Linked DNA regions of Anolis sagrei. The protein of the gene in region 1 interacts with the protein of each later gene in a pairwise test. Links are inferred from orthologs where the notes say so. Each region holds a gene or a part of one and is shown on either strand. Other genes may lie near its edges.

What was found.
Region 2: the proteins of HSPB1 (region 1) and PPM1A interact in a two-hybrid assay, tested with the Homo sapiens proteins (2 studies listed by BioGRID and IntAct). The link is inferred for Anolis sagrei from reciprocal best matches to the Homo sapiens genes HSPB1 and PPM1A.
Region 3: the proteins of HSPB1 (region 1) and BAG3 interact in binary tests that used the Homo sapiens proteins (3 or more experiments, as listed by UniProt). The link is inferred for Anolis sagrei from reciprocal best matches to the Homo sapiens genes HSPB1 and BAG3.
Region 4: the proteins of HSPB1 (region 1) and WDR83 interact in binary tests that used the Homo sapiens proteins (3 or more experiments, as listed by UniProt). The link is inferred for Anolis sagrei from reciprocal best matches to the Homo sapiens genes HSPB1 and WDR83.

What each region holds. Positions count from the first base shown.
Region 1 is NC_090031.1:32,940,604-32,948,548, reverse strand, and holds the start of HSPB1 (heat shock protein beta-1), read left to right. Parts: upstream 1-4,943; 5' UTR 4,944-4,968; coding exon 4,969-5,356; intron 5,357-7,351; coding exon 7,352-7,415; intron 7,416-7,945. UniProt on the Homo sapiens protein: Small heat shock protein which functions as a molecular chaperone probably maintaining denatured proteins in a folding-competent state. Plays a role in stress resistance and actin organization.
Region 2 is NC_090021.1:333,092,360-333,099,664, reverse strand, and holds the start of PPM1A (protein phosphatase 1A), read left to right. Parts: upstream 1-4,301; 5' UTR 4,302-4,680; intron 4,681-7,305. UniProt on the Homo sapiens protein: Enzyme with a broad specificity. Negatively regulates TGF-beta signaling through dephosphorylating SMAD2 and SMAD3, resulting in their dissociation from SMAD4, nuclear export of the SMADs and termination of the TGF-beta-mediated signaling.
Region 3 is NC_090023.1:202,041,417-202,048,277, forward strand, and holds the start of BAG3 (BAG family molecular chaperone regulator 3), read right to left. Parts: upstream 3,017-6,861; 5' UTR 2,715-3,016; coding exon 2,523-2,714; intron 1-2,522. UniProt on the Homo sapiens protein: Co-chaperone and adapter protein that connects different classes of molecular chaperones including heat shock proteins 70 (HSP70s), e.g. HSPA1A/HSP70 or HSPA8/HSC70, and small heat shock proteins (sHSPs), e.g. HSPB8.
Region 4 is NC_090022.1:111,887,596-111,894,852, reverse strand, and holds the start of WDR83 (WD repeat domain-containing protein 83), read left to right. Parts: upstream 1-4,239; 5' UTR 4,240-4,326; intron 4,327-4,515; 5' UTR 4,516-4,566; intron 4,567-6,311; 5' UTR 6,312-6,476; coding exon 6,477-6,579; intron 6,580-7,241; coding exon 7,242-7,257. Other genes in the region: WDR83OS (PAT complex subunit Asterix), read right to left, coding at 90-195, 4,025-4,074. UniProt on the Homo sapiens protein: Molecular scaffold protein for various multimeric protein complexes. Acts as a module in the assembly of a multicomponent scaffold for the ERK pathway, linking ERK responses to specific agonists.

The DNA.
Region 1 (7,945 bases):
TCCTCCTCCGTCTCTTCCTCCTCCTCTATTTCTTCTTCTTCTTTCTTGCTTTCTTCTCTGCTTTGTACAAGGTTGAAAACTCATTTCTACCAACGACAAAGGTAGGGAAGGGTGAAGTACGGGATGAAGAAATCTTTTGCCTTCCGAACAAATGGACGAAACTCAACTCCGCTCGCTAAGTTAGGAAAATGGGAGAGGAGAAAGGGAGAAAGAGGAGGTTACTTGTTTGTTTACTTATTTATATATTTATTTATTTATGTATTTATTTATTTATTTATGTTCCTCTTTTCCCCCCCTTCTCTGTTTCTTTTTCCTCCCCAAACAAACGTAGCTCACAGAACTCTACTTTCAGCTTCAGAGGAGGCTGACCAACCATGTTTATTGTCATTGTTTTGATCTATCGACTGGGCTTGTTTTGATATATATCCTCCCCCCGGATGATTGTACTTAAACTTATTTTCAGGGCTGGGGGTGGGGGGTGTCTGGAAAGAAGGGGAAGAACATTCTGGAAGGATACAGTTCAGAGATAGGCATCTCAAGTGGAGACAATTGGGGAGGGGGGAATCCAGGAAGGTCGGAGGAGGAGGAAGAGAAGAAGAACGTGCAAATAGGGACATTGCGATCTAGGAGGAACCCACAAAGCATCTCTGGAACCGTATTGCTGACAGAAACCGGTTCACTCTGGAAATATAGACTCTGGTGAAAGCCGTACAGTCTCAAGTGACTTTGGAGAACTTTGTGGGATTCGGGGAAAGCTTTCACCAGTCGGGTGAGAAGATCCGAAGCAACGTTGGATGCCCAAAAGCGTCCTGTTCCTGCAAGGCTTCAAAACGAGCCACGAGTGGGATGTAGCAGCTTGAAAGGCTGCATCTGTCGGGGTCTAGTGTCCAAATGGAGGAAAGTAATATAGCCATGGCTTGAGATATATGACTGAAGACGAGCCAAGATTGGGATGCAGCAGCTCAGAAGGTCCATGCAATTCCAGGCTGCATCCATCGGAGTCTAAATGGAGGAAAGTAATATTGTCAAAGGCTTTCATGGCCAGAATCACTGGTTTGTTGTGTGTTTTCAGGGCTGTATGGCCTAGTTCCAGAAGAATTCTCTCCTGATGTTTCACCTGCATCTGTGACAGGCATCCTCAGAGGTTGTGAGGTCCTCACAACCTCTGAGGATGCCTGCCATAGATGAGCCATAGACCTCACAAGATGCAGGAGAAACATCAGGAGAGAATGCTTCTGGAACATGGCCATGCAGCCCAGAAAACACACAACAAACCAATATAGCTATAGCTTGACGATAATAATATACCTAGCGAAAAGGGCCAATGCAATTCTAGGCTGCATCAGTAAGGATTGAGTGTCCAGATACTCTGTAGACGAGGATACAGTGGAGCCATTGATTCGAATGGCACCGGAATATGAGGACAAATGGAGCCATGGATTTGAATGGCACCGGAATATGAGGACAGTCTCAATTCTTGGAGGTTTTTAAGCAGAGGCTGGATGGCCATCTGTCCGGAGGGATCAAACGGTGTCGTTTGTGGTAGAAGGGGGTTGGACTGGATGGCCTTTGGGGGCCTCTCCCATCAGGGACATTTCTTTCAGTCTTCCGAGCATTTGTTTATTCGTCGCCGTCTCTGCAAATGATAGCCAGTCGGAACAACAACAACGTTCTCTCTCTCTCTATCTATCTATCTCTCCTTCTTTTATTTCTCTCTCCTTTCTTCCGGCCGCGACTTCAGTTGTAGATTCCCATGAGCTGATTCAATTATAATAAAATATACAAGATCGATCGATTGTAATGGGATCTTTGTCGGGGCCGTGTCCTCTGTTTTTGGTGAGACACTCTGTCACTACGTTTGAAAACAGGGCGGTTGGATCGAATGTCCCATGACTGACAGGTCGGAAAGTACACATAGCTACAAAGGATAGACTGGATGGCCTTTGGGGTCCCTTCTAATCCATCTCAGTCTTGCTTTTTTGAAGGAAAATTAGAGTCCCGGCCAAGAATGTTCCCGCAGAGCCTGGACCTTCAGAAGGATGATGACCTCAGAGAAGAGGCAGCCGGTCCCTTTGGCGGACAGTGACTCACGGCCGGAGCAAGAGAGATCCCGCTCTCCGCTTCCCAAAAACACCAAGGATAGTCCCTCTGGTGCCCCGCTCTCTCCTCCTCTTTCCCCTCGCTCGGTCTGTGCCACGTTCTGCTTGGCACCTCCCAAAAGGTCTTTCAATCCTTGGAGGTGAACTGGTCTGCTCTGGACTGACATTTGGGCGAGCTCATGGGAGTCTCTTAGGCTGTCCTTCAACAGAGGTTGGGGGGGCATCTTTCGGGAGTGCTTTAAGTATAGGGCAGAATGGGGCTGGACTGGATGATCCTCAGGGAACCCTTCCAGCTCCATAATTCTATGCAATGGTCCCAACAATGGGTGGGATTTGGTGGTCTCTTCCTGCCTGGCGGAATGGGGCTGGACTAGATAACCCTCGGGGGTCCCTTCCATTTCTGTAATTCTCTGCAATGGTCCCAACAATGGGAGAGATTTGGTGGTCTCTTCTCATTTGTATACAATAGTCCCACGATGGCCATCTTTCAGGAATGATTTAGGTGTAGAGCATAATGAGACTGGACTAGATGACTCCCGGGGGTCCCTTCCAGCTCTGTAATTCTCTGCAATAGTTCCAACAATGGGAGGGATTTGGTGGTCTCTTCTTGCCCGGCAGAATAGGGGTGGACTGGATGACCCTCAGGGAACCCTTCCAGCTTTGTAATTCTATGCAATGGTCCCAGCAATGGGAGAGATTTGGTGGTCTCATTTGTATACAATGGTCCCACGATGGCCATCTTTCAGGGGTGCTTTAGGTGTAGAGTATAATGAGACTGGACTAGATGACTCCCGGGGGTCCCTTCCAGCTCTGGAATTCTCTGCAATAGTTCCAACAATGGGAGGGATTTGGTGGTCTCTTCCTGCCTGGCGGAATGGGGCTGGACTGGATGACCCTCGAGGGTCCCTTCCAGCTCTGGAATTCTATGCAATGGTTCCAACAGTGGGAGGGATCTGGTGGTCTCTTCTTCTTCGGCAGAATGAGGCTGGATTGGATGACCCTCAGGGGTCCCCTCCAGGTCTGTAATCCTATGCAGTGGTCCCACAGTGGCCATCTTTTGGGAGGGCTTTAGTGGTCTCTTCACATTGTATGCAATGGTCCCATAATGACCATATTTCAAGAGTACTTAGAGCATAATGGGGCTGGACTGGATGACCCTTGGGGTCCCTTCCAGATCTGTAATTCTATGCAATTGTCCCCACAATGGCCATCTTTGGGAATGAGGTGGGACTAGATGACCCTTGGGGATCCCTTCCAGATATGTAATTCTATGCAATGGTTCCAACAATGGGAGGGATTTGGTGGTCTCTTCCTGCCTGGCTGAATGGGGCTGGACTACATGCCCCTCGAGGGTCCCTTCCAGCTTTGGAATCCTATGCAATAGTCCAACAGTGGCCATCTTTTGGTCTCTTCTCATTGTATGCAATGGTCCCAACGCCAAGAGTGCTTTAGGTGTAGAGCATAATGGGGCTGGACTGGATGACCCTTGGGGGTCCCTTCCAAATATGTAATTCTATGCAATGGTCTCCACAATGGCCATCTTTGGGAGTGCTTTAGGTGTAGGCATTTTGAGGCTGGACTAGATGACCCTCAGGGGTTCCCTCCAGCTCTATAATTCTATGCAACGGTCCCAACAATTGGTGGGATTTGGTGGTCTCTTCCTGCCTAGCGGAATGGGGCTGGACTACATGACCCTCAAGGGTCCCTTCCAGCTCTGGAATCCCATGCAATGGTCCAATGGTGGTCATCTTTTGGAAGGCTTTAGTGGTCTCTTCTCATTGTATGCAATGATCCCACAATGACCATCCTTCGGGAGTACTTTAGGTGTAGAGCTGAATGGGGCTGGACTGGATGACCCTTGGGGGCCCCTTCCAGAGATGTAATTCTATGCAATGGTCCCACAATGGACATCTTTCGGGAGTGCTTTAGTTGTAGGGCTGAAACAGGCTGGGCTAGATGACCCTCAGGGTCCCTTCAGCTCTGTAATGCTATGCACAGTGGCCATCGTTTGGGAGTGCTTTCGTGGTCTCTTCTCATTGTATGCAATGGTCCCACAATGGCCATCTTTTGAGAGTGCTTTAGGTGTAGAGCTGAATCGGGCTGGACTGGATGACCCTTGGGAGTCCCTTCCAGCTCTGGAATTCTATGCAATGGTCCCAACAATGGCCATCTTTTGGGAAGGATTTGGTGGTCTCCTCTCATTGTATGCAGTGGCTGCACAATGGCCATCTTTTGGGAAGGATTTGGTGGTCTCCTCTCATTGTATGCAGTGGCTGCACATTGGCCATCTTTTGGGAAGGATTTGGTGGTCTCTTCTCATTGTATGCAGTGGCTGCACAATGGCCATCTTTTGGGAAGGATTTGGTGGTCTCTTCCCATTGTATGCAGTGGTTGCACATTGGCCATCTTTTGGGAAGGCTTTAGTGGTCTCTTCTCATTGTATGCAATGGTCGTCTTTTAGGGGAGCATAATGGGGGTGGACTGGATGACCCTTGGGGGACCCTTCCAGCTCTGTAATTCTAAGCAATGGTCCCAACAATGGCCATCTTTTGGGAAGGATTTGGTGGTCTCTTCCCATTGTATGCAATGATCCCACAACGTCCATCTTTTCAGAGCGCTTTGTTGTATGCAATGGTCCTGCAATGTCCATCTTTTCAGGATGGGGCTGGACTAGATGGCCCTCGGGGTCCCCGTTCCCGCTCCGTATGCCAGGGCCCGTCCCGCAGTCCAAAAAAGGCCTTTCCCTCCCGCTCCATTCCTGGGAGCGCCATTTCCATTAATAGACAAGGAGACATTCTTCTCCCAAAATAGCCCTTTGCCTCTGGATGAGAAGGGCCAGCTGGCCCGGCCGGACAAAGGAGCGTTGGCCATGTCGGAGCGCCAGGTGCCCTTCACCTTCCTCCGCAGCCCCAGCTGGGAGCCCTTCCGGGACTGGTACCGAGGCGGCCGCCTCTTCGACCAGGCCTTCGGGATGCCCATGGTCCCCGATGACTGGTATAGGTGGCCCGCCGGCAGCAGCAGCGGATGGCCGGGCTACGTCCGCCCCATGATCCAGAGCCCCGAGCCGGCCACTCCGGCCAGCGCTGGCCCTCCGGGGGCCCATCCGGCCTACAGCCGGGCCCTCAGCCGGCAGCTCAGCAGCGGCGTCTCCGAGATCCGGCAGACCCCCGAAGGGTGGAAGGTGGCCCTCGACGTCAACCACTTCGCCCCTGAGGAGCTCCTGGTCAAGACCAAGGACGGCGTGGTGGAGATCACCGGTAAGGATGGAAGGAAAGGGGCCCAGGAGGGCATCCAGCCCCACCCTCGGCCAAGGCAGTGATTGAATAGGGGGCTGGTGGGTCAGGGAGTCCTAGAGTTAGAAGGGGAGCCAAGGGCCCCCCAGTCCAACCTTCTGTATGTATGTATATGTGCCGATCTTCCCATCCATCCATCTTAGAATCCTGAAGTTGGAAGGGACTTCAAGGGTCATCCAGTCCAACTACCTGTATGTGTATATCTTCCCATCTATCTATCTTCCCATGTATCTATCACCCTATCTACCTACCCACCCATCCCTCTATCCCTCTATCCCTCTATCCCTCTATCCCTCTATCTATCTATCTATCTATCTATCTATCTATCTCTATCTATCCATCCATCCATTCATCCATCCATCCATCCATCCATCCATCCATCCATCCATCCATCCATCGCTCTATCTATCTATTGGTCTATCTATTGATCCATTGATCCATTGATCCATCAATACATCAATCCATCCACCATCTATCTATCTATCTATCTATCTATCTCTATCTATCCATCCATCCATTCATCCATCCATCCATCCATCCATCCATCCATCGCTCTATCTATCTATTGGTCTATCTATTGATCCATTGATCCATTGATCCATCAATACATCAATCCATCCACCATCTATCTATCTATCTATCTATCTATCTATCTATCTATCTATCTATCAATCAATCAAAGAATCCTAGTTGGAAGGAACCCCAAGGGCCATCCAGTCCAACTTTGTATGTGTATGTTTGTATCTTCGCATGTATCTATCATCCTATCTATCTACTTATCTATCTACCTACCCACTGACCCACCCAACCACTTTATCTATCCCTCTGTCTATCCCTCTATCCATCCATCCATTCATCCATCTATCTAGCCATCCATCCATCCATCCATCCATCCACCTACCTACGTACCCACTGACCCACCTGCCACTTATCTATTTATCTGTCTATCCATCCACCCATCCATCATAAAATCGTGACGTTGGAAGAGACTCCAAGGGCCATCCAGTCCAACCTTCTGCATCTAGATATCTTTCTATCCATCCACCTAGCTACTAACCTATCTATCCAACCCTCTGTATGTACGTATACATCTATCTATCTATCTATCTATCTAGCCATCCATCTATCATAGAATCCAACTAGAGTCCAACTACTTGTATGTGTATATCTTCCCATCTATCTTCTTATGTATCTATCATCCTATCTACCTACTCACCCATCCCTCTATCTATCTGTCTGTCTATCCCTCCATCCATCCATCTATCTATCTATCTGTCTGTCTGTCTGTCTGTCCGTCTATCCATCTATCCATCCATCCATTCATCTATCTGTTTATCCCTCTATCTGTCTATCTGTCCGTCCATCCGTCCATCCATCCATCCATCCCTCTGTCTATCTATCTATCTATCTATCTATCTATCTATCTATGTCTATTTATCTATCTATGAGAGAGGCAAACTGACACATACATACATACAGGGAATTGGATGGGATGGCCCTTAGGGTCTCTTCCAATGCTGGGATGGATGGATGGATGGATGGATGGATAGATAGATAGATAGATAGATAGATAGATAGATAGATAGGGTAGTCTTTGGGGTCTTTTCAAACATTAGGTTTTGATTGATTGATTGATAAATTATGTTTAATAGTAATACTAGTATAGATTTATTTGCATCCTGTTTTTACTATGTTTTATATTATTTTATTTTGTAGTATTATAAATTATTGTTACTTTACATTATAATTGCTTTATACGATTGCGATTGCATTAATACAGTCACAATATAACAACAATAAACTAAAGCAACAATAATATAAAAATATATAATAATATAATGTTATATTATAAAATAATATATATTAAAATAATATGTAATAAGCCAATAATAAAATGTAAGAATAGGTCTGTGTCCAAATGTGGGGTTTGTTTACGTTCTCTCCTTCCGTCTCTTTCAGGAAAACACGAAGAACGACAAGATGAGCATGGATTTATTTCCAGGTGTTTCACCAGGAAATACACGTAAGTTGCTGGGCGGGTTTCTGGTCAGTTCCTTCCCAATGGAGGGACCCGTTTCCTTTGATCCTTTTACCTGGGGAGTTGAAACAACAACAGGTCCCATCATCCCCAGACAGTGCAGAAGGAGGCCCATCCTGAGCCCTGCAATGCCTTAATGGCATGTCTCTTTGCTGCCATCCAGTGGCCAACTCGGGAATTGCACCCTTTTAGTGCAGCCTAGCAGTAGAGGGCTCCTGCTGAGTCCACTTTGTCGCCATCCTGTGGCCAGATGGAAAATGGCACCTTTTGTTATATTTTCTCCAAATAGGGAAATAGGGAGGAAACTCAGTTCTTGTGGGTTTTTTCGGGCTATATGGCCATGTTCTAGAGGCATTTCTCCTGACGTTTCGCCTGCATCTATGGCAAGCATCCTCAACTGCTGTGCTCTCCCTCCCTCTTGGTCTTTCCTTCCTTCTTCTGTCCCTCCCCTCTCCTTCTTCCATCCCTTCCTTCCTTCTTTTCCTCTGTCCATCGTTCCTTCCTCTCTTACTTCC
Region 2 (7,305 bases), on another chromosome or scaffold:
GTAGTGAGGTCTGTTGGAAGTAGGAAAAATGGTCAATAAAACATTAAGTATTAAAAAACTCAAAAATTACAACAGCAAAACAACAGAGGGGAAACCTACAGGCACATAAAATCACTCTCAACAAGAGATCCCCCCCAGGCGCTTCCAGGCCACTGAATGCAAACCAAGGTGATCAGGTGAAACATTACCCTGGTCATTCCACAGATATATAAACCCATTTTTCCTACTTCCAACATACCTCACTACCTCTGAGGATGCTTGCCATAGATGCAGGCAAAACATCAGGAGAAAAATTGCCTCCAGAACATGGCCATATAGCCCGGGAAAACTTACAACAACCCAGTGATCCCGACCATGAAAGCCTTTGACAATACAATACATGTATACATTGTTTTGTCTTTTGGCTTTATGCTTTCTAGACTTTGTGACTGACTTTTTATAATGTTTTATTGACCATCTTAGCAACTTGGGACTGTTTTCAGGAAACACAAATCTCTGATGGGTTTGCTCTTAATGCTGCCATAGCATCATTGTCTTCTCTAAGCTTTCCTTCCTTCTCATGATGTGGCCAAAGTACTTCAGATTGGCTTCTACTATTCTTCCCTCCAGTGAGCAGTTAGGCTTTCTTTCCTGAAGTATGGACTAGTTGGATCTTCTCGCTGTCCAAGGCACTCTCAGAACTTTCCTCCAGCACCACAGTTCAAAAGCATCTATCAATTGCAAAATAACATTGTCTTTCCTCTTCCTTTCCAGATTGTTACAAAAGATAATTACAGCTGGTATACAACTGGTATGTTTGTTGAGGAGACAGGAAAGCCTAGAGAAGATAATTATGCTGGGGAAAGTGGAAGGTAAAAGGAAGAGGGGCCGACCAAGGGCAAGATGGATGGATGGCATCCTTGAAGTGACTGGACTGATCTTGAAGGAGCTGGGGGTGGTGACGGTCGACAGGGAGCTCTGGCATGGGCTGGTCCATGAGGTCACGAAGAGTCGGAGACGACTGAACAAATGAACAACAACGTTTGTTGACTAGTTATGTTACGGTTGACGCCGGTTTAATTGCTGGTTGAACCATTATCCCCTTCTTTCTTTTCTCCTTCTTCCTTTATATTATATTGTTGCATCCCAGATCAAGAAACGAGACCATAAGATTAAATCCATCACACTGGACTGTAGGAAAAGCAATCCTTGTTTATTGATGAAAAATTGGTTACAAAAGAAAGGTAAATGCAAAGTCAAAAAGCCACAGAAAAAACACAGCAGTCAGTAGAATCTCTGAACTTGAGCAAAATTTCAAAAGCCACAATACAAGAACCAGGAACCTGTTAGCCTTTTACTGACCATGAATTTGATAACTAGAAGCCTCTGGGATTACTGGCCATGGAACACAGGAATTCTGCCAAGGCACAGCCACAGTCCCAAACGTTGCTTGATCTAAAGAGGCACCCGGCAGGAGGCCCCTTAAACCAAAGAAGCTATTCTTTGAAACGCCCCTTGACTTTGAAGCCTGGGCCTGTTTCTCCTGTAAACGATTTGACCTTCGTAGAAACTGTGAAACATTTCTGTCTCTAACTATCTGTTCTCTTCGGTCCTCATTAAAAACCCCAGGTGGAGAGATATCACGGCTAGCTTCCAAAACATTTTCCTCCAGCTGTTGAGTTTCATTTTCATCGCCGCTGACCTCAACATCAACAACAGATTCCACACTGTCAGGGTCAGGGAGAGCTTGCTCAGTTGGAAAAACTATCAGAGAATCTGGTTCACACAGATCAGGATCAGGCTGAACCCCAACATATATATTATATGTCGAAGGCTTTCATGGCCGGAATCCATGGGTTGTTGTAGGTTTTTCCGGGCTATATGGCCATGTTCTGGAGGCAATTTTTCTCCTGATGTTTCGCCTGAGGATGCTTGCCATAGATGCAGGCAAAACATCAGGAGAAAAATTGCCTGCAGAACATGGCCATATATTTATTTACTTATTATTATTTACTTTGCTTATATACCGCTGTATCTCAAGCCCGAAGGCGACTCACAGCGGTTCACAAACAGTAAAAACAGTAGAAACAGCAGTGGTTCCATACAACATATAACAATTGACTTAACACATTATCCATAAATTACCAATAAGCAATTACAATGCACAATTATTACAAAAAACAACCGTACCCAATCTTCTCATCATCCAAGCGTAGTACAGATTCGTCGTCCATTGTTCCATTCCTATGTTCCATTACCAGATTGCACTAAATTATATAGCCCGGAAAATTATATAAATTATATAGCCCGGAAAAACCTACAACAACCCATATATATTATATGCTTCTCTGGAGACTAGGACGCGAAACAATGGCTTCAAACTACAAGAGAGGAGATTCCATCTGAACATGAGGAAGAACTTCCTGACGGTGAGAGCCGTTTACTAGTGGAACTCTCTGCCCCGGAGTGTGGTGGAGGCTCCTTCTTTGGAAGCTTTTAAACATAGGCTGGATGGCCATCTGTCAGAGGTGATTTGAATGCAATATTCCTGCTTCTTGGCAGGACTGGATGGCCCATGAGGTCTCTTCCAACTCTTTGATTCTATGATATTGTATTGCAATATAATATTATTATCAATATATATGTATACAATATATTATATTACTACTTCGTGTTGTTTTATGGTAAAGTGCTGTGTAGATTTAATGGCACCCCATAAATGGAAGAGCAGCAGCCATAATTCCCTTCAGGCCACTCATTCTTTCATCTTTCCTGCCATCCTAAACTGCGCAGGCGCAGTAGGGAGCGGGAATGATGTAATAACAATAATTGCCTCAGCGAAACACTTCGCCCACATCTCCCTCCATTCCATTTCCCCCTCCCACCCAACATCCGGGCTCTTTCCCTCGCGCTGCACCAAAGCCAGCTGCAAAACCCCTTACAGCGGTTACCATAGAGCGCGAGGGGAGGGGGGCGGGAGGAGGATCAGCAGCACACGGGAGCGCGCTCGCGTGCCTACGTGCAATCAGAGGGATTGGCGGAAGCATTGCGCATGCGCTGACGTCAACCTCAAATGGCGAGAGTGCATAACACGGGAGCGCGCCGCCATTCTTACTACGAGCGATGGCTGTCTCCTTTCTGCGCACGCGTGCTCGGATTGACGCTCCCCTCCAGTCCTTTCTGCGCGTGCGCGAACTTCTCTGGCAGGACAGAGCGAGGGGGAAGGGATTCTTTTACGCATGCGCACATGTCCGAGCTCAGAGGAAAAGCTCGCGAAGTGAGCTTTAGAAGGGAGGGAGAGAGGCTTTCTGCGCATGCGCGAACTTCTCTGGCAGGACAGAGCGAGGGGGAAGGGATTCTTTTACGCATGCGCACATGCCCAAGCTCAGAGGAAAGTCTCGCAAAGTGAGCTTTTATAGAAGGGAGGGAGAGAGAGGCGGAGAGGCATTCGGCGCATGCGTACATATCCAACCTCAGAGGCGAGGCTTGCAAAGCTGTACTTTAAAGGAGAGAAAGAGCAGAGGGAGAGAGGGGTACTCCTTTGCGCATGCGTACACGTATAGGAGAGAGGCGCATGCGCATACGAGGCGAGCGGTTTAATAGGAGAGATGCACTCCTTTGCGCATGCGCGCATGCCAAGCCTCAAAGGCGAGGCGAGCTGCTCTGGTGTAATAGAAATGAGGAGAGGAAGGGAGATTTACTTCGCGCATGCGCATAAGAGGCGAGCGGTTTAATAGGGAGAGATGTACTCCTTTGCGCATGCGTACATGCCAAGCCTCAGAGGAGAGGCGAGCTGCTCTGGTGTAATAGAAATGAGGGGAGAGAGATGTACTCGTTCGCGCATGCGCATACGTTCAGCCTCAGAAGAGAGGCCTGCAAAGCCGTGCTTTAGAGAAGGGAGAAAGAAGGGTACTCCGCGCATGCGCACATGTCAAGGCTCTGGTTTAATAGGAGAGAGAGAGAGAGAGAAGGGTACTTTGCGCATGCGCACTTGTCAAGGCTCTGGTTAATAGGAGGGAGAGAGAAGGGTACTCCGCGCATGCGCACATGTCAAGGTTCTGGTTTAATAGGAAGAGACCTACTTCTTTAGAGAAGGGAGAGAGAGAAAAAAAAGAGTATTCCGCGCATGCGCACATGCCAAGGCTGTGGTTTAATAGGAAGAGACCTAATTCACGCAAGCGCACAAGCTCTGCCTCTGAGGCGAGACCCGCAAAAGTGTGCTTTAGAGAAGGAGGAGGGAAGAGAGGAGGCACTCCTTCGCGCATGCGCACACGCCCACGCTCGGCGGGCGCGCGCTCCTCGCCCTGACGTCGTTCCTCTCCTCTCAACCGTCACTCGCGCGCCCCCTGCTCTCCCCTTCTGCGCGTGCGCAGAAGGCTCTTTTCCCTCCCTCTTTCCCCCCGCCCCTCGCTGGCTTGGTTGCCTGAGGGAATTGAGCGAAGGGAAGAGGAAAGGAAATAGGGTCGCGTGGGAGTGGGGCCTGGACGAGGAGGAGGAGGAGGAAGGGGGAGAGGGATCGGAGCGGCTGGAGAGATGAGCGCTCGGTTCCCCCTCAGGAGCCGCGAGGAGGAGCCGCTGTCGCCGTCGTCGTCGTCGAATGAACTGAGGCGAGGCCGGCTTGGCTCGGCCCGGCCCGGTCTGGCCTAGACCTCCTCGCCTCGCTTCGGGAAGGCGGAGTCGCGCCCTCTTCTCTCCTGCGGGGTGAGTGGATGCTGGGGGACTTCCAGAAGGAGAGGCCCGGGCCTGGAAGGAGGCCTGTTGTGCAGTTGGTATTGTGGCTCTCATCCTCATTGTCATCCCTGCCCTGCAAAGCCCTGACATTTTGCAAAAGGGGCGGAGAGGAGAGGACATGTTTATTATTATTAGTAGTAGTATCATCATTACTACTACTATCCTCATCCCCTACTTAGGGCTGGTGTTTTGATTGTGTGAAATGGACTGTGAGAATATAATAATGCTAATATATTACCATTATATATTAGAATTATTAGCATTATGGTAAAAGGGGCGGAGGGGAGAGGACATGTTTATTATTATTAGTAGTAGTATCATTACTACTACTATCCTCATCCCCTACTTAGGGCTGGTGTTTTGATTGTGGGGAATGGACTGTGAGAATGTAATAATGCTAATATATTATATATAATATTATATATATATATATATATATATATATATTATAATATAATATATTATATAATATATAATATTATTTATTATATATAAGACATGGGCAAACTTCGGCCCTCCAGGTGTTTGGACTTCAACTCCCACAATTCCTAACAATATTATATATATATATATATATATATTATATTATATATAACAGACATGGGCAAACTTCGGCTCTCTAGGTGTTTTGGACATCAACTCTCACAATTCAGGAATTGTTGGCGTTTTGATTGTGGGAATGGACTGTGAGAATGTAATAATGCTAATATATTATATATAATATTAATAATATTGTAACATTATATGTTATATATAAGACATGGGCAAACTTCGGCCCCCTAGGTGTTTTGGACTTATATATATGCTAATATATTACATATAATATTAAAAATATAACATATATTATATATAAGACATGGGCAAACTTCAGCCCAGGCTACCGGCTGTTATTATTAGTAGTAGTATTATCATCATTACTACTACTATCCTAATCCCCTTCTTACGGCTGGAGTTTTGATTGTGGAGAATGGACTGTGAGAATGTAATAATGCAAATATATTATATATAATATTAATAATATTGTAACATTATATGTTATATATAAGACATGGGCAAACTTCGGCCCTCCAGGTGTTTTGGACTTCAAGTCTCACAATTCAGGAATTGTTGGCATTTTGATTGTGGGGGATGGACTGTGAGAATGTAATAATGCTAATATATTATATATAATAATATTAATAATATTGTAACATTATATGTTATATATAAGACATGGGCAAACTTCGGCCCTCTAGGTGTTTTGGACTTATATATATGCTAATATATTACATGTAATATTAAAAATATAACATTGTATATTATATATAACACATGGGCAAACTTCGGCCCTCCAGGTGTTTTGGACTTCAACTCTCACAATGGAATTGTGGGAGTTGGAGTCCAAAACATCTGGAGGGCCGAAGTTTGCCCATGTCTGTTATATATACTACAACTTAAGATATTATATTATTAGTATAATATATGGTGGAGGCTCCTTCTTTGGAAGCTTTTAAACAGAGGCTGGATGGCCATCTGTCAAGGGTGATTTGAATGCAGTATTCCTGCTTCTTGGCAGGGGGTTGGACTGGATGGCCCATGAGGTCTCTTCCAACTCTTTGATTCTATGATTCTAGTAGTATTGACATCATTACTACTACTATCCTCATCTCCTACTTAGGGTTGGCGTTTTGATTGTGGAGAATGGACTGTGAAAATGTTGTTGTTGTTGTTTTTAAATTGTTTTTAAATTTTGTTAGATTTTAGCCTGTTCTTGTAAGCTCCGAGCCCCAGGGGAGTGGCGGCATATAAGTTTGAATTATAAATAAATAAATAATGCTAATATATTATATATAATATTAAAAATGTAACATTATATCTCATATATAAGACATGGGCAAACTTAGGCTCTCTGGGTGTTTTGGACTTCAACTCTCACAATTCCTAACAGCCAGTAGGCTGTTAGGAATTGTGGGAGTTGGAGTCCAAAACACCTGGAGGACCGAAGTTTGCCCATGTCTGTTATATATACTACAACTTAAGATATTATATTATTTGTATTATCATCATTACTACTACTATCTTCATCCCCTACTTAGGGTTGGTGTTTTGATTGTGGAGAATGGACTGTGAGAATGTAATAATGCTAATATATTATATATAATATTAATAATGTTGTAACAGTATTATCTATTTATATATATATAAATGCTCTGTGCATAATGAGTACCTTAAAAACAAAAGAACAAATGAACGAAATCACACCAAATTTGGCAAGAAAACGTCTCACAACACAAGGAGTGACCATCCCTCAAAAATTATGATTTTGTCATTTGGGAGTTGTAGTTGCTGGGATTTATAGTTTACCCTTGAGTTTGGGAGTTGTAGTTCACCTACATCCAGAGAGCACTGTGGACTCAAACAATGATGGATCTGGACCAAACTTGGCACGAGCACTCATTACACCCAAATATGATCACAGATGGAGTTTGCGGGAAATAGACCTTGACATTTGGGAGTTGTAGTCACTGTGATTCACAGTTCACCTACAATCAAAGAGCGTTCTGAACCCCACGAATGACAGACTCGGGGCAAACTTCCCACACTGAACCCCCATGA
Region 3 (6,861 bases), on another chromosome or scaffold:
CAGTGTCACAGAGAAGGGAGTGAACAAAGCTTTGCACACACAAAGATACTTTGGGCCATAGGCACACACTCCCCTCACGTACAAACTCACGAAGTCTGCCTCAAGGATCTTGGTCTACTCTCTGAAACCTGTGAGGAGAAATCAGGGTCATGTTTCTCCCAGGCACTCAACTTTGGGGGTCAAAAAATAAATGCCCTATACCCCAGGATCTGATCCCAGGTTTTCTGCTTTAAACCAGCTTATAGGAGTCCGCACTGACAGATAATGTGAGATAAACAGAAAACCTGGGATCAGATCCTGGGATATAGGGCCAGAAGGGCCCGAAGTGGGTTCCCTCAAAACACACACACATCACTGCCCCACGTTTAGTCCTCCCTCCTCAATCTCCTTCACCTTTACCTCCAAAGAAGGCAAGTAAATACACTGAATAGCCAGCCATAAAGGTAAAAAAGGCAAATCACTGAGAGGCTGGCCATGAAGGCAAAAAAGTAACTGAAAGACCTGCCATAAAGGTAAAAAAGGCAAATCACTGAGAGGCCAGCCATGAAGGCAAAGAAGTAACTGAAAGGCCTGCCATAAAGGTAAAAAAGGGCAAGTCACTGAAAAGTCAGGCATGAAGGCAAAGAAATGAAAAACCTGTCATAAAGGTAAAGATACTAAGGTAACTGAAAGGCCAGCTATGAAGGCAAAGAAGGCAAGTAAGCAAAAGGTCAGCCATGAAGTCAGAGAAGAGAAGTAAGTGAAAGGCCAGCCATGAAGGCCAAAAAAAAAAAGTAAAAAAAAGAAGTAAAAAGCCAGCCATTAAGGTAAGAAAAGGCGAGTCACTGAAAGGCCAGCCATAAAGGCAAAGAAGAGAAGTAACTGAAAGGCCAGCCTCGAAGGCAAAGTAAGGCAAGTAATTGAAAAATCTTTCATAAAGGTAAATAAATCAAGTAAGTGAAAGGCAAGTCATGAAGGCAAGGAAGTGAAAGGCCTGTCACAAAGGTAAAGAAATCAGGTAACTGAAGGTCCTTCCACACAGCCTTATATCCCAGGATATCAAGGCAGAAAATCCAACATTATCTGAGTTTGTAGATTCAGATAACGCAGTTCAAAGCAGATATTGTGGTATTTTCTGCCTTAATATTCTGGGATAATAGGGCTGTGTGGAAGGGCCCTGAAAGGCCAGTTATAAAGGCAAAGAAGAGAAGTGAAAGGCCTGTCATAAAGGTAAATAAATCAAGTAAGTGAAAGGCAAAGAAGAGAAGTAACTTAGGGCTCTTCCGCACAGCCCTATATCCCAGGATATCAAGGCAGAAAATTCAATATCTGCTTTGAACTGGGTTATCTGAGTCAACACCGCCATATATTCCAGTTCAAAGCAGGGAATGTGGGATTTTCTACTTTGATATTCTGGGATATAGGGCTGTGCGGAAGGGCCCTGAGAGGCCAGTTATAAAGGCAAATAAGAGAAGTGAAAGGCCTGTCATAAAGGTAAATAAATCAAGTAAGCAAAAGGCAAAGTAACTGAAAGGCCTGTTATAAAGGTAAAGAAGACAAGTGAGGAGGGCCCTTCCACACAGCCTGATATCCCAGAATATCAAGGAAGAAAATCCCACATTATCTGAGTGTGTAGATTCAGATAACGCAGTTCAAATATTCCAGTTCAAAGAAGGGAATGTGGGATTTTCTGCCTTGATATTCTGGAATATATGGCTGTGAGGAAGGGCCCTGAAAAGCCTGTTATAAAGGTAAAGAAGACAAGTGAGGAGGGCCCTTCCACACAGCCCTATATCCCAGGATATCAAGGCAGAAAATCCCACAAATATCTGCTTTGAAGTGGGTTATCCAAGTCCACACTGCCATATATTCCAATTTGAAGCAGATATTGTGGGATTTTCTGCCTTGATATTCTGGGATATAGGGGTGTGGAAGGGCCCTGAAAAGCCAGTTATAAAGGTAAAAAAGACAAGTAAGGACCTAATCACACTAGAGAATGAATCCACTTTAAATCTGGTTGCTTCCTCCTGAAGAATTATGGGATTGGTAGTTTGGGGGGACTCTTTAACAGCCTCACTAAACTACAAACCCCAGAATTCTGCAGGAGGCAGAAACTGGATTTAAAGTGGATTCATTCTCTAGTGTGATGAAGTAGTGAGCGAAAAACCTGTCAAGTAAGTGAAAGGCCAGCCATGAAAGGCAAAGAAGGCAAGTAATTACAATGTACTAAGCAAGGTTCTTTCCCAAATGTCACAACTAATTCCATTCAAGACATAGAAAGGTCAAAGCAAGTTGGGGAGGAGTTGTATGCCAGGGGGAGACTCTGGGGTCATGTTTGGGTTGAGAAGAAGTCGCTACAAAATGACATTTCCCAAAGGAAGTTTCTCTGAGCCTGTTTCCCCGCCTCCCTTTCCCTCTGGTGGAGTTTCCCCACTCAAGGCGAGTCTGGGGCGAAACCCCTTGCCCTTGGAGTCCTCATCGGAGCCTCTTCGCGTCTTTAATAAGGACGGGAAGCCGGCCTGGGGGGAGGTTTGTGTGTGTACCTTGCGGTGGTCGCCCTGCTGCGGCAGCCTGGGGTCGCTCCAGGTGGTGGTGCGGCTGTTGTGGTCCACGAAGAAGGGCCAGCCGGTCTGCGGGTCGATTTTCACCTCCCAACCGGGCGGTAGCGGCTCCCGCTCGCCCGCCCCACCGGCCTCGGTCGGCCGCAACGCCGGGGACTGCGCCGCCGCGCTCATCCTACTGCTGCTGGTGGTGCTGCTGCTGCTACTGTTGCGAGAGCGGCTGTCCCTGCTCCTAGCTCTGCCTCTTCTGCTGCCTCTTCTGCTGCTGCTGCGACTGCGGCGCCTCCTCCTCCTTCGCCAGCCATGCACTGGGCAAGCAAGCGAGGCCGCCCCACCCGCCAAGCCCCTTTATGGCTCGGAGGGAGAGAGAGGGAGGGGACGGCGAAGGGGGTGGAAGGGTCTGGAAATAGCAGAGGAGGAGAAGAGGAGGAGGAGGAGACAGGGGAGGAGGAGCAGCAGCTGCCCGGCTGGAAACTTCTGGGCGCCTCGCCTCACAGCTCCTCCTTGAGTCACGCTCCCGCCACTAGGATTATTGTCACGGCGGCTATTACTCGCCACCCGCCGCTCTCCGCTCCATTATGACGGAGCGCGCCTCCCGGGACCGCCCCCCGCCTCGCCGCTCAAGGAGAAGCCAAGCCTCCCTCTTCCCTCTTGAGCGCCCATGAAGGGGGACGGCGACCCAAAGTCAGGCCGGAGCTGATTTGGTCATTTATCGTGCCAGGAGCGAACCAAACAGTTGAATTGCATTTTAAAAACACACACACACACAAAACCCCCACAAAGTTCGCACACTTGGCATTCTATTATTTGTTATTATTTGAGACACAACAAGATGAGTCCACAGCAGACCATAATAAATAATAGAATGCCAAGTTTGCAAACTTTGTGGGGGGTTTTGTGTTTTTAAAATGCAATACAACTATTTGGTTCGCTCCTTATTTATTATTGTTGTTCATTCGTTCTGTCGTTTCCAACTCTTCGTGACCTCATGGACCAGTCCACGCCAGAGCTCCCTGTCAGCTGTCACTACCCCCAGCTCCTTCAGAGTCAAGCCAGTCACTTCAAGGATGCCATCCATCCATCTTGCCCTTGGTCGGCCCCTCTTCCTTTTTCCTTCCACGGTGGTCCACGCTTTGGTTACATCCCGTTTAGATTACTGCAATGCTCTCTACGTGGGGTTGCCTGTGAAGACTGCCTGGAAGCTCCAACTAGTCCATAGTGCGGCAGCGAGAATGCTAACACGAGCAGGGTACAGGGAGCATACTACTCCTGTTGCGCCAGCTCCACTGGCTGCCAATTAGCTTCCGAGCACAATTCAAAGTGCTGGTGTTAACCTATAAAGCCCTAAACGACTCCGGCCCTGTTTACCTGTCCGAACGTATTCTCCCCTATGAACCATCTAGGTTGTTAAGATCGTCTGGAGGGGCCCTGTTCTCGGTCCCACCAGCCTCTCAGGCGCGTCTGGTCGGGACGAGGGACGAGGGACTTCTCGGTGGTGGCCCCTCGACTCTGGAACTCTCTCCCACTGGAGTTCAGAACTGCCCCCTCCATTCTGTCATCCAGAAAACGGGTGAAAACCTGGCTATGGGGTTTGGCTTTCGATGAGTGAATCAATATTTCTGTGATTGGATAGATGATGATGAATGATGGACAACAAATTCACTATGACGACTGACCATTGTTATTATGTGATTGCATTTTGCTGTTATAACGTTTTAATTGAATATGTTATATGATGTTTTTAATTATTGTTTTGTGATTTTATTGTTGGAAATCGGCCCAAGTCCCCTGATAGAGGGGAGAAGACCGGTATACAAAATTGCTAAATAAATAAATAAATAAATTTTCCCCAGCATCATTATCTTCTCTAAGCTTTCCTTTCTTCTCATGATGTGGCCAAAGTACTTCATCTTGGCCTCTACTATTCTTCCCTCCAATGAGCAGTCTGGCTTTATTTCCTGAAGTATGGACTGGTTGGATCTTCTCACGGTCCAAGGCACTCTCAGAACTTTCCCCCAACAGCACAGTTCAAAAGCATCTATCTTCCTTCACGCTTTCCTAAGGTCCAGCTCTCACATCCATAGGTGACTATGGGGAATACCATTGCTTTAACTATGCAGACCTTCATTGCCAGTGTGATGTCTCTACTCTTCACAATTTTATCGAGATTGGACATTGCTCTCCTCCCAAGAAGTAAGCATCTCCTGATTTCCTGGCTGCAGTCTGCGTCTGCAGTAATCTTTGCACCTAGAAATACAAATTATTTATTATTATTATTAATTATTAACTTTATTTGTACCCCGCTAGCATCTCCCGAAGGACTCGATGCGGCTTACACAGGCCGAAGCCTCAAAACACAATACAATAAAGGACGTAACATCACAATAACAAAGCAAATCAAACAGTAAGCAAAATATCATAACTCCACAATAACTAAGCAAATCAACAGTAAGCAAATAAGCAAATAACGACAATGGCAGAACGTCAGGACATTATTAAAACAGGTTCGGCCGGCGCAATGGGGTACAAGGGTTAAAAGTGCTGAAATGGTAGGAGGCACGTAAGGTTGAAAGTGCAGTGTGCAGCGACAATTTATTATGCTAAGGTGCTACTAGGACTTAGGTGGGGATTTCTAGTCTGGGAAGGCACAACGGAACAGCCAAGTTTTTAAATTCCTTCTGAAAACGGCTAGAGTGGGGGCCTGTCTGAGATCTTTTGGGAGGGCGTTCCAAAGTCTGGGGGCCGCCACAGAAAAGGCCCTGTCCCGCGTCCCCACCAAGCGCGCTTGCGACGTGGGTGGGATCACGAGCAGGGCCTCTCCGGATGACCGTAACGAGCGTGTGGGTTCGTAGATGGTGATGCGGTCACGCAGGTAGGGTGGTCCCGAACCGTTTAGGGCTTTGTAGGTAAGCACCTGCACCTTGAATTGGGCTCGGAAAATAAAAGGCAGCCAGTGGAGCTCCTTAAACAGAGGGGTAGACCTCTCTTGATAATGAGCCCCGGTTAGCATCCTGGCTGCTGCCCGCTGGACCAATTGAAGTTTCCGAGCCGTCTTCAAGGGCAGCCCCACGTAGAGCGCATTGCAGTAATCCATTCTAGAGGTGACCAAGGCGTGGACCACCCCGGCCAGATCAGCCTTCACGAGGTATGGTCGCAGTTGGCGCACAAGTCTCAGTTGCGCAAAGGCCCTCCCGGATACCGCCGACACCTGAGCCTCAAGTGTAAGCGAGGAATCCAAGAGGACACCCAAACTGCGGACCTGTGGCTTCAGGGGGAGTGTAACCCCGTCCAACACAGGTAACCACCCTATACCCCGATCCGGTTTACGATCGACCAGGAGGACCTCTGTCTTGTCGGGATTGATCTTCAGCTTGTTCTTCCTCATCCAGATCGACACAGCGGCCAGGCACTCACCTAGCACCTGAGAAGCCTCCTTGGAATTAGGTGGAAAAGAGTAGTAGAGTTGCGTGTCATCTGCGTAGAGATGGCACCCAACTCCAAAACCCCGGATGACCTCTCCCAGCGGTTTCATGTAGATGTTAAAAAGCATGGGAGACAAAATAGAGCCTTGCGGGACCCCACAGGTCAAAGGCCAGGGGTCAGAGCAGGCATCTCCCAGCTTCACCATCTGAGTTCGTCCCTCCAGGAAGGACTGGAGCCACGACAGAACCGTGCCCCCAAGGCCCATCCCGGAGAGACGACCCAGAAGGATACCATGATCGATGGTATCGAAAGCCGCTGAGATGTCCAAGAGAACCAGCAGAGTCACACTCCCCCTGTCCAGCTCTCTGTGGAGGTCATCCACCAAGGCGACCAAGGCTGTCTCGGTGCCATGACCAGGCCTGAAACCAGACTGTGACTGATCTAGGTAGTTGGTATCGTCTAGGAAACCCTGGAGCTGAGAGGCGACCACCCTCTCCAGCACCTTACCCAAAAAGGGGAGGTTGGAGATCGGCCTGTAGTTATTCAGCACCGAGGAGTCAAGGGAAGCTTTTTTGATAAGTGGGCGAACCACGGCCTGCTTCAGGTTAGATGGAAAAATTCCTTGCTCCAACGATGCATTGATAATCGGTACAAACCAGTCAAGCAACCCCCCTCTGGCTGATTTAATGAGCCAGGATGGGCATGGGTCCAGGGATGAGGTGGTCGCTCTCACAGCCCCAAGGATCTCCTCCACGGTTTCAGGAAGAACAAGCCTAAAAGAATCCCATAAAGTTAGACAAGCAGGTGCCTCCGTCACCTCTTCTGGCACTGCGATGGAATTGGAGTCGAGCTCGAGGCGTATCTGGGCGACTTTATCTGCAAAATGGTGTGCGAAATC
Region 4 (7,257 bases), on another chromosome or scaffold:
TCTTATTACTACAATATGATGTCCTACAGGTGAACAAGTGAACGGGTGAGTGGGGGATGGGCAATTTGCCACTACTGGTCACTACTCACCTTCAACATCAAGCCACACATACTAAAAATCATTCCCAAAAGATTCATGTAGTCAGGTGTAGGGTCTTCCAGGGTTGGGTTGTTCTCTGTGGATGGAGGCTTGTATCTACAAATGAAATTATGGAGTGGGGGGAGAAAGCATTAAATCAGGATGGAAAATAAAATATTAACATTATCTGCAATAACGTTGAACTAAAGACCAAGACACCAATAGCACATTCTCTGCTTATAATAAGATTGTATAACATATGTTTGTTTGTATGTGTATGGATGGATGGATAAAATTGCCACATTACACTCATTTCTTATTTATTTATTTACTTCATTTCTACCCCACTTTTCTTGACACCAAAGGGGACTCAAGACAGCTTACAGATCTGGTAAAAATTCAATGCCACACAGCTAAGCAACAAAACACATCTCATCAAAATATAACTGTAACTTACCAACAGCTCCTGTACTTTAGTTCTGCCCTGTGCCCTATAGCCCTGGCATTTTTATGCCAAATGACATTACTCTTCCAGTCCTAACTTCTATTGGATTTTGCACTTTCCCTTAGCCCTATCCAGAAACTATTGCAGAAACTCTTAGCCCTCTGAGATTAGTATTTTTACTGATCGGCCTAGGGATTGCTTTTATGATGTTGTGCTGTGTTATTGTGATGTGTTTTATTTTGTTTCTGATATTTTGATATTGTTTTTGACTTTACTTACTGCACTATGTTTTAATCTGTGTTTTTTTCAGGCTTGCCCCTTGTAATCTGCCCCGAGTCCCTTTAGGGAGATGGAGGCAGGGTATAAACATAAAGTTGCTATTATTATTATCATCATCATCATCATCATCATCATCATCATCATCGTCGTCATTATCATCATCATCAGAATCTAATTATATAAGCAATTAAAACACATATCAATCAACAGATTAAAAACCATATACGTAAAATATAGAATCATGATCTCATAATTTATACTAATATTTATATGATTAATGAATGTTAACACAAATTGTTCACATGCAAACTCTTTGAAACTGTATTTTACAGAAAGTTAGCTACTTTACTTAACTGGAATGTTGTTTTCATAAAAAGCCAATAAAGGTGAACATGCCAGAGGCTGAACAGCCATCTGTCAGGATTACAGGAGCTCCTGGTGGTGCAATGGGTTAAACTCTTGTGTCAGCAGGACTGCTAACCAAAAGATCAGCGGTTCAAATCCGGAGACCAGGGTGAGCTCCCATATGTCAGCTCCAGCTTCCCATCCAGGGACATGAGAGAAGCCTCCCACAGGATGATAAAACTTCCAGGCATACCCTGGGCAGTGTCCTTGCAGGTGGCCAGTTCTCTCACACCACAAGCGACTTGCAGTTTCTCAAGTTGCTCCTGACATGAAAAAAAAGGATGACTGTATGACATCTTGCACTGAAGAGTCCACATTGAGGAACGGGTTGGGCAAGATAAGGGTGGGCACCTGCTGCCCCAGATGTCACTGAACAATCAACTTAATTCAATGCAGCCAGTAGTAAGTAGCATCTAAACACCAAGCGATCCTGAGCTGCCCATCTCAGAACTGAGTAATTCCATTCTTTCATTTCTATGAAGGCCTCTCCTGTACATCACATCAGCAACAGCCTGCTGCTACGCTACAAGTTTAGCATGGACAGATCTAATCTATCCTGAAGGGCAAATCTCCCAATTTTACAGGGTGTTTCAAAAACTATGGACCCAATTGCAAGGCAGTATATTCCAGGATGGCAACATGTTACAATCACACAAAAAGTTACAAATGGCAATGAGTCATCAATTGTTACTAACCATTTTGAACCAGAAACAAATGTAAAAAAATAATAACTGAAAATGGAGAATATCTCATTAGGCCTGGTGTTGCGGGGTCACTATCTCATGGATGACTGGGGCTAGTGCTGGGAGAGGCATCTAGCAGTTTTATTTATCGTGTTAGAAGAAAATTGAGAATACAGTTATAATGTATAAAAAACCACTAACAAAGTTAAAAACTTGTCATTATGCTAAAATTCCTTTGACCAGAGTGCCTCTAGTGTCGCTGGAAGAAGGTCCTCCATTGTGAATGTATGCACTTGAAGTATAGTAAAGATGAAGGTTTTCCCTAGACATTAAGTCTAGTCATGACTGACTCTGTAGGGTGGTGCTCATCTGCATTTATAAGCCAAAGAGCCGGTGATGTCCATAGATGCCTCCAAGGTCATGTAGTCGGCATGACTGCATGGACCGCAGTTGTTACCTTCCCGTGAGAGCGGTACCTATTAATTTACTCTTTTACATGTGTTTGAACTTTTTTTTTCATGTCAGGAGTGACTTGAGAAATTTTAAGCTGCATTTTACCTGTATTTGTTGTACGTATTTCGATAGTTCTTTGTTCTACATCACTCTTTTACCTAAGTCATACCCACCTTGAGCCACAAAGAGAGGCAAGTAACAAATACATTATTATTATTATTATGATTATTATTTGATACACAACAGGATTAGTACACAGCAAACAAATCACTGTGCTGGCTGTGTGTATGTGTGTGAGTGTGTCAGGAGCAACTTGAGAAACTGCAAGACCCTTCTGGTGTGAGAGAATTGGCTGTCTGCAAGGATGTTGCCCAGGGGACGCTCAGATGTTCTGATGTTTTACCATCCTTGTGGGAGGCTTCTCTCATGTCCCTGAATGGGAAGATAAAGCTGACAGAGGGAGCTCACCCATGCTCTCTCTGGATTTGAACCTCCAACCTGTCAGTGTTTAGTCCTGCCAGCACAAGGTTTTAACCCATTGTGCATCGAGGGGTTCCTGCTAGGTTTGAACTGCTAGGTTGGCAGATGTTGGGGCTAACAGTGGGAGCTTACCTTGCTCCCTGGATTTGAACCACCTTTCAGTCAGCAAGTTCAGCAACTCAGTGGTTTAACCCACTGTACCACCAGGGGCTCCACTTGCAATATGCAAGTATTAAGATAGAATGCCATCAAGATAGCAGAAGTTATTCATGACGTAATTAATCCCTTTGAAACTCTCTGCCCAACCTTTTTCAGGAGGTGAGTGTGTCATTCAGGGGTGGTTGGTGGTTGCAGAGAAACAGCCATTTCAAACCGGGTCCATCTTGCTTGTTTTGTTTTGTTTTTTGTCCTGTTAGGAGCCACTTCAGAAACTGCAAGTCGCTTCTAGTGTGAGAGTATTGGCTGTCTGTAATGACGTTGCTCAGGGGACAGATGTTTTGAAGCTTTTACCATCCTTGTAGGAGGCTTCTCTCCTGTCCCCGCATGAGGAGCTGAAGCTGACAGAGGGAGCTCATCCGTCCTCTCCTCGGATTCGAACCTGCGACCTGTCGGTCTTCAGTTCTGTCAGCACAGGGATTTAACCCACTGCGCTACTGGGGGCTCCTAACTTGCTGAAACACATTTATTATTTTGAAGCAGTTTCTCAAGCTCTGGCTGGCCGGAGGTTTTTGGACTTCGGCTCCCAGAGACTCCACTCATTGGCCCAAGTAGCTGAGGCTCCTGGGAGCCGAGGCTCACAACCTGGAGGGCGAGAGTGTGGGAATCAAGGCAGTTGAAAGCATTCCCGCGCGACAAGGCCAAGCGTCTCCTTCCCTCCTAGTTCCTGCCAGGCCTTGTGCCCGAGAGCACCCCCTGGGAAATGCGGGCCACGCTGCCTGGGGGCGGGGATGTCCTTCGGCCCTCGGGCTCGGCCCAGGCGCCCAACGTCCTTGCCGCTTTCCCTGGCGCCTCGCACTCTGCCCAGCGCCTCAGAGGGCCAGCTCTGCTTGGGTGGTAAAGGAGAGGCCGCGCGCGCCCAGGCGTTGCCATAGTGACCCTTCAGGCCTGCCGCGCGGAGGGGGCGGCGCGAGCCCCAGCGGCCCCTCCTAAGAGACTGAAACCCCTTTCGTGTCCCGGCGACCCCTGACCCCCACTATCTGACCTTAGGACGCGGTTGGGCCGCCGCGGGTCCGCCATGTTGTTGCTGGACATCCCACCCTCGCGGCCCGTCTCAGGGCTCCTCAGGGAAGGCGGGTTTCCTTTACCACTCCAGCTTCCGCTTCTCCTCACGGGGGAAGACTAAGGATGCCGCACCCCGAGTCCCGCGCATTTGTGTTCCGGTTAGGCGAGACAGGCTTCTCTTCCCCGGAGAGGCATCCTGGGAGACATTAAAGGCAGAACGGAGCGGACCCTGTGGAAATGGCAGGAGCTTTTCCGACTCGCTGCCTCCCCTCGAATTCAAAGGTAACTTGGAGTGGAGGAGGCGGCTTAAGAGGAAGAGTAACACAGACACACTTGAATCTCTTGCTGTGGCATTTTTTTTTATTTTTTAGAATATTTTTTTATTTTGAGAAAAAAACCCAGTTATATAGACATGTACTATACACTCCCCTCTCTTTTATTTACACTCACCCTTGTGCTCCTCTTCTCCAGAGCCATCTTTTCTTTTAAAGTTCCACCAAAAGTTCAGTTCTTCACTGGGAGGTAAATTCCCATTTTCTTTTTCCTTTTGCCTTTTCTAGAAATTTTCTCCAAATACTTTCAAAGTCATTTTTTTCACATAATCCTTTCTTTACTTTTAAGTTTGATGTTTGCATTTTAAATCAGTCAGGATTTAAAATGTGCAAAAGCTGGGTTGCATTTAAACATTAAAAAAACCAAGATTATGGCATCCGGATGATTGATAACTGGGAAATAGAGGGAGAAAACATGGGGGCAGTGACAGACTTTGTATTTCTGGGAATGAAGATTACTGCAGACGCAGACTGCAGCCAGGAAATCAGAAGACACTTACTTCTTGGGAGGAAAGCAATGAGCAATAAAATAGTGAGGAGTAGGGACATCACACTGGCAACAAAGATTTGCATAGTCAAAGCAATGGTATTCCCTGTAGTAACTTGGATGTGAGAGCTGGACCATAGGGAAGGCTGAGTGAAGGAAGGTAGACACTTTTGAACTGTGGTGCTGGAGGAAAGTTCTGAGAGTGCCTTGGACCACGAGAAGATCTAACTAGTCTATACTTCAGGAAATAAAGCCTGACTGCTCACTCCTCCTAAGGACAAAGATGAAGTACTTCAGCCACATAATGAGAAGACAGGAAAGCTTGGAGGAGACAATGATGCTGGTGAAAATGGAAGGGAAAAGGAAGAGGGGCCGACCAAGGGCAAGATGGATGGATGGTAGCCTTGAAGTGACTGGCTTGAGCTTGAAAGAGCTGGGGGTGGTGACAGCTGACAAGGAGCTCTGGCACGGGCTGGTCCATGAGGTCACAAAGAGCCAGAAGTGACTGAACGAAAAAACAACCAAAAAAAGTCTGTCTGTAGAGTAGCTGACAACTTAAATATAGATACAGGAGCAGCAGATGTTACACAGACAATCTACAGAAAAGTGAATAATTGATCATAATTGATGCTAAATGCAGGTGAAGCAAAGAAAGAAATTAGATTTGGATAAAAGCAGACTGTTAATGCTAGAAGAGTTGAAGATTCAAGAACTGATGAGATCAGTTACTTAAGTTTAAGGGACTAATGGACTCAGCCACTTAAAGTTGAAATAATTAAAATCATATTAAGGGCTAAGCATGAGAGATGTGCCAGTATGCCAAAGGACACTTGAAGGAAGGAACTCCATATACGGCTGTAGGCTGGCCATGTGTCAGAGGAAATGTGATTTATCAAAGGCTCTTTTGACAGTGCTTCTGATGTGATCCAAGGGTGAGGTATGGAGAAAGGGGGATTTAAATATGAACTTCATTATATTGTGTATGTGCATCTTTGTCTATCTTTTTTTTTAAAAAGATGCATCTGCCTGCAGGTATATTTTATAAAATTTTCTGCTTCAAAATTTTGTAATCAGAGTATTTATAAAAAGGCTCCAAAGGGGTATATTTCTAACGCTTCTCCCTCCTCTGAGTGAATTATGTGCAAATTACATAGTTTTGTAGTTTGAACTTTGCTAAAACAAAGGAGGAGAAAGAAACAATTTTTAAATAAGAAAGTGGGATAACAGGATTAATTGGGGCTGTCTCTGTCAAATCAGAATAGTTGCAGTGTGTGGGTAGGCTGTAAGAATGGCAGCAACTTAGGCAATTGGTGCTTACCTTTGTATGATGATCCAACTTTGTAATCAGAATGGATTCTCCATTTGTTTCACCATTGTGAGGAAGCTAGTTGTTTGAATAGTATGGCCCTTGGAAACTGATTTCTTTGCATTTGTTATTCTGCAACCAGGTGGTGTCACTCTGAAGAGAATAAATAACCAGAAGCAGAAGCAATCGAATCATATCAATCAGTTGGGGATATTCCTGGTGTCTGAGATCATGCTGTGACTGTAGCTGCAACATCAATAATAGAGGAGAATACGTTCTTGCATACCAGAAGTTACTTGTATTTGCCATGGCCTTTCCAGAGCCCAAGCCCAAAAAGCCTGAGCTTCCAAAGAAACTGTTTGCTACACTGGAATGTAAACAGGGAGCTGTCAGAGCAGTGAGATTCAATGGTGAGTGTGCCCTTTGTCCTTTAAAGTGGCATAATAAGGGAGCCATCCTTAAAATGGTATAAGAAAGGTACTTTGCATTTCAACCAAGAACCAAAAGTAGGAGACAGATATCCTGCTTTTAGCAGAATAGGCAAACAGCATGCCATTTTAAAAAGAAGAAAAGCTTAACATTTTCAATACTTCACTCAAAAGTAACTGAAGAGTGTAAAATGAAATGAAAAATACTTTGTGCAGGTAGCTGATAATGGACCATATTATCAACTCAAGTTAGATTTATACGATATGCATACTGACATCATTTTTACATTAATGTGATTTATATGTACTATTGTCTTTATTAGATGGAGAGCAACAGACTATTCTGTGTGGGGAAAGCATTATGCTTTGTATGCTCCTGTAGGATCCCAATGAAAATGTTTAGCTGATAGGGATGGAGAAATGAAAAGGCAATTTCCTAGTATGAAAATAACGTCTAGTATGTAATTGTAAGTCTTGTGTCATTTGTTAAATCAAGAAAACAAACACAATAAGATGAGGAATTGAGCTTTCTAGGGCAGAAATTTTGTGATTTTGGGGCAAATTGTGATGAAATATAACAGATTATTGTGTCTAGTGGACTGAACAAAGATCAATCAATTATGTTTCCTCTTTGTTTAATATAGTGGATGGAAATTATTG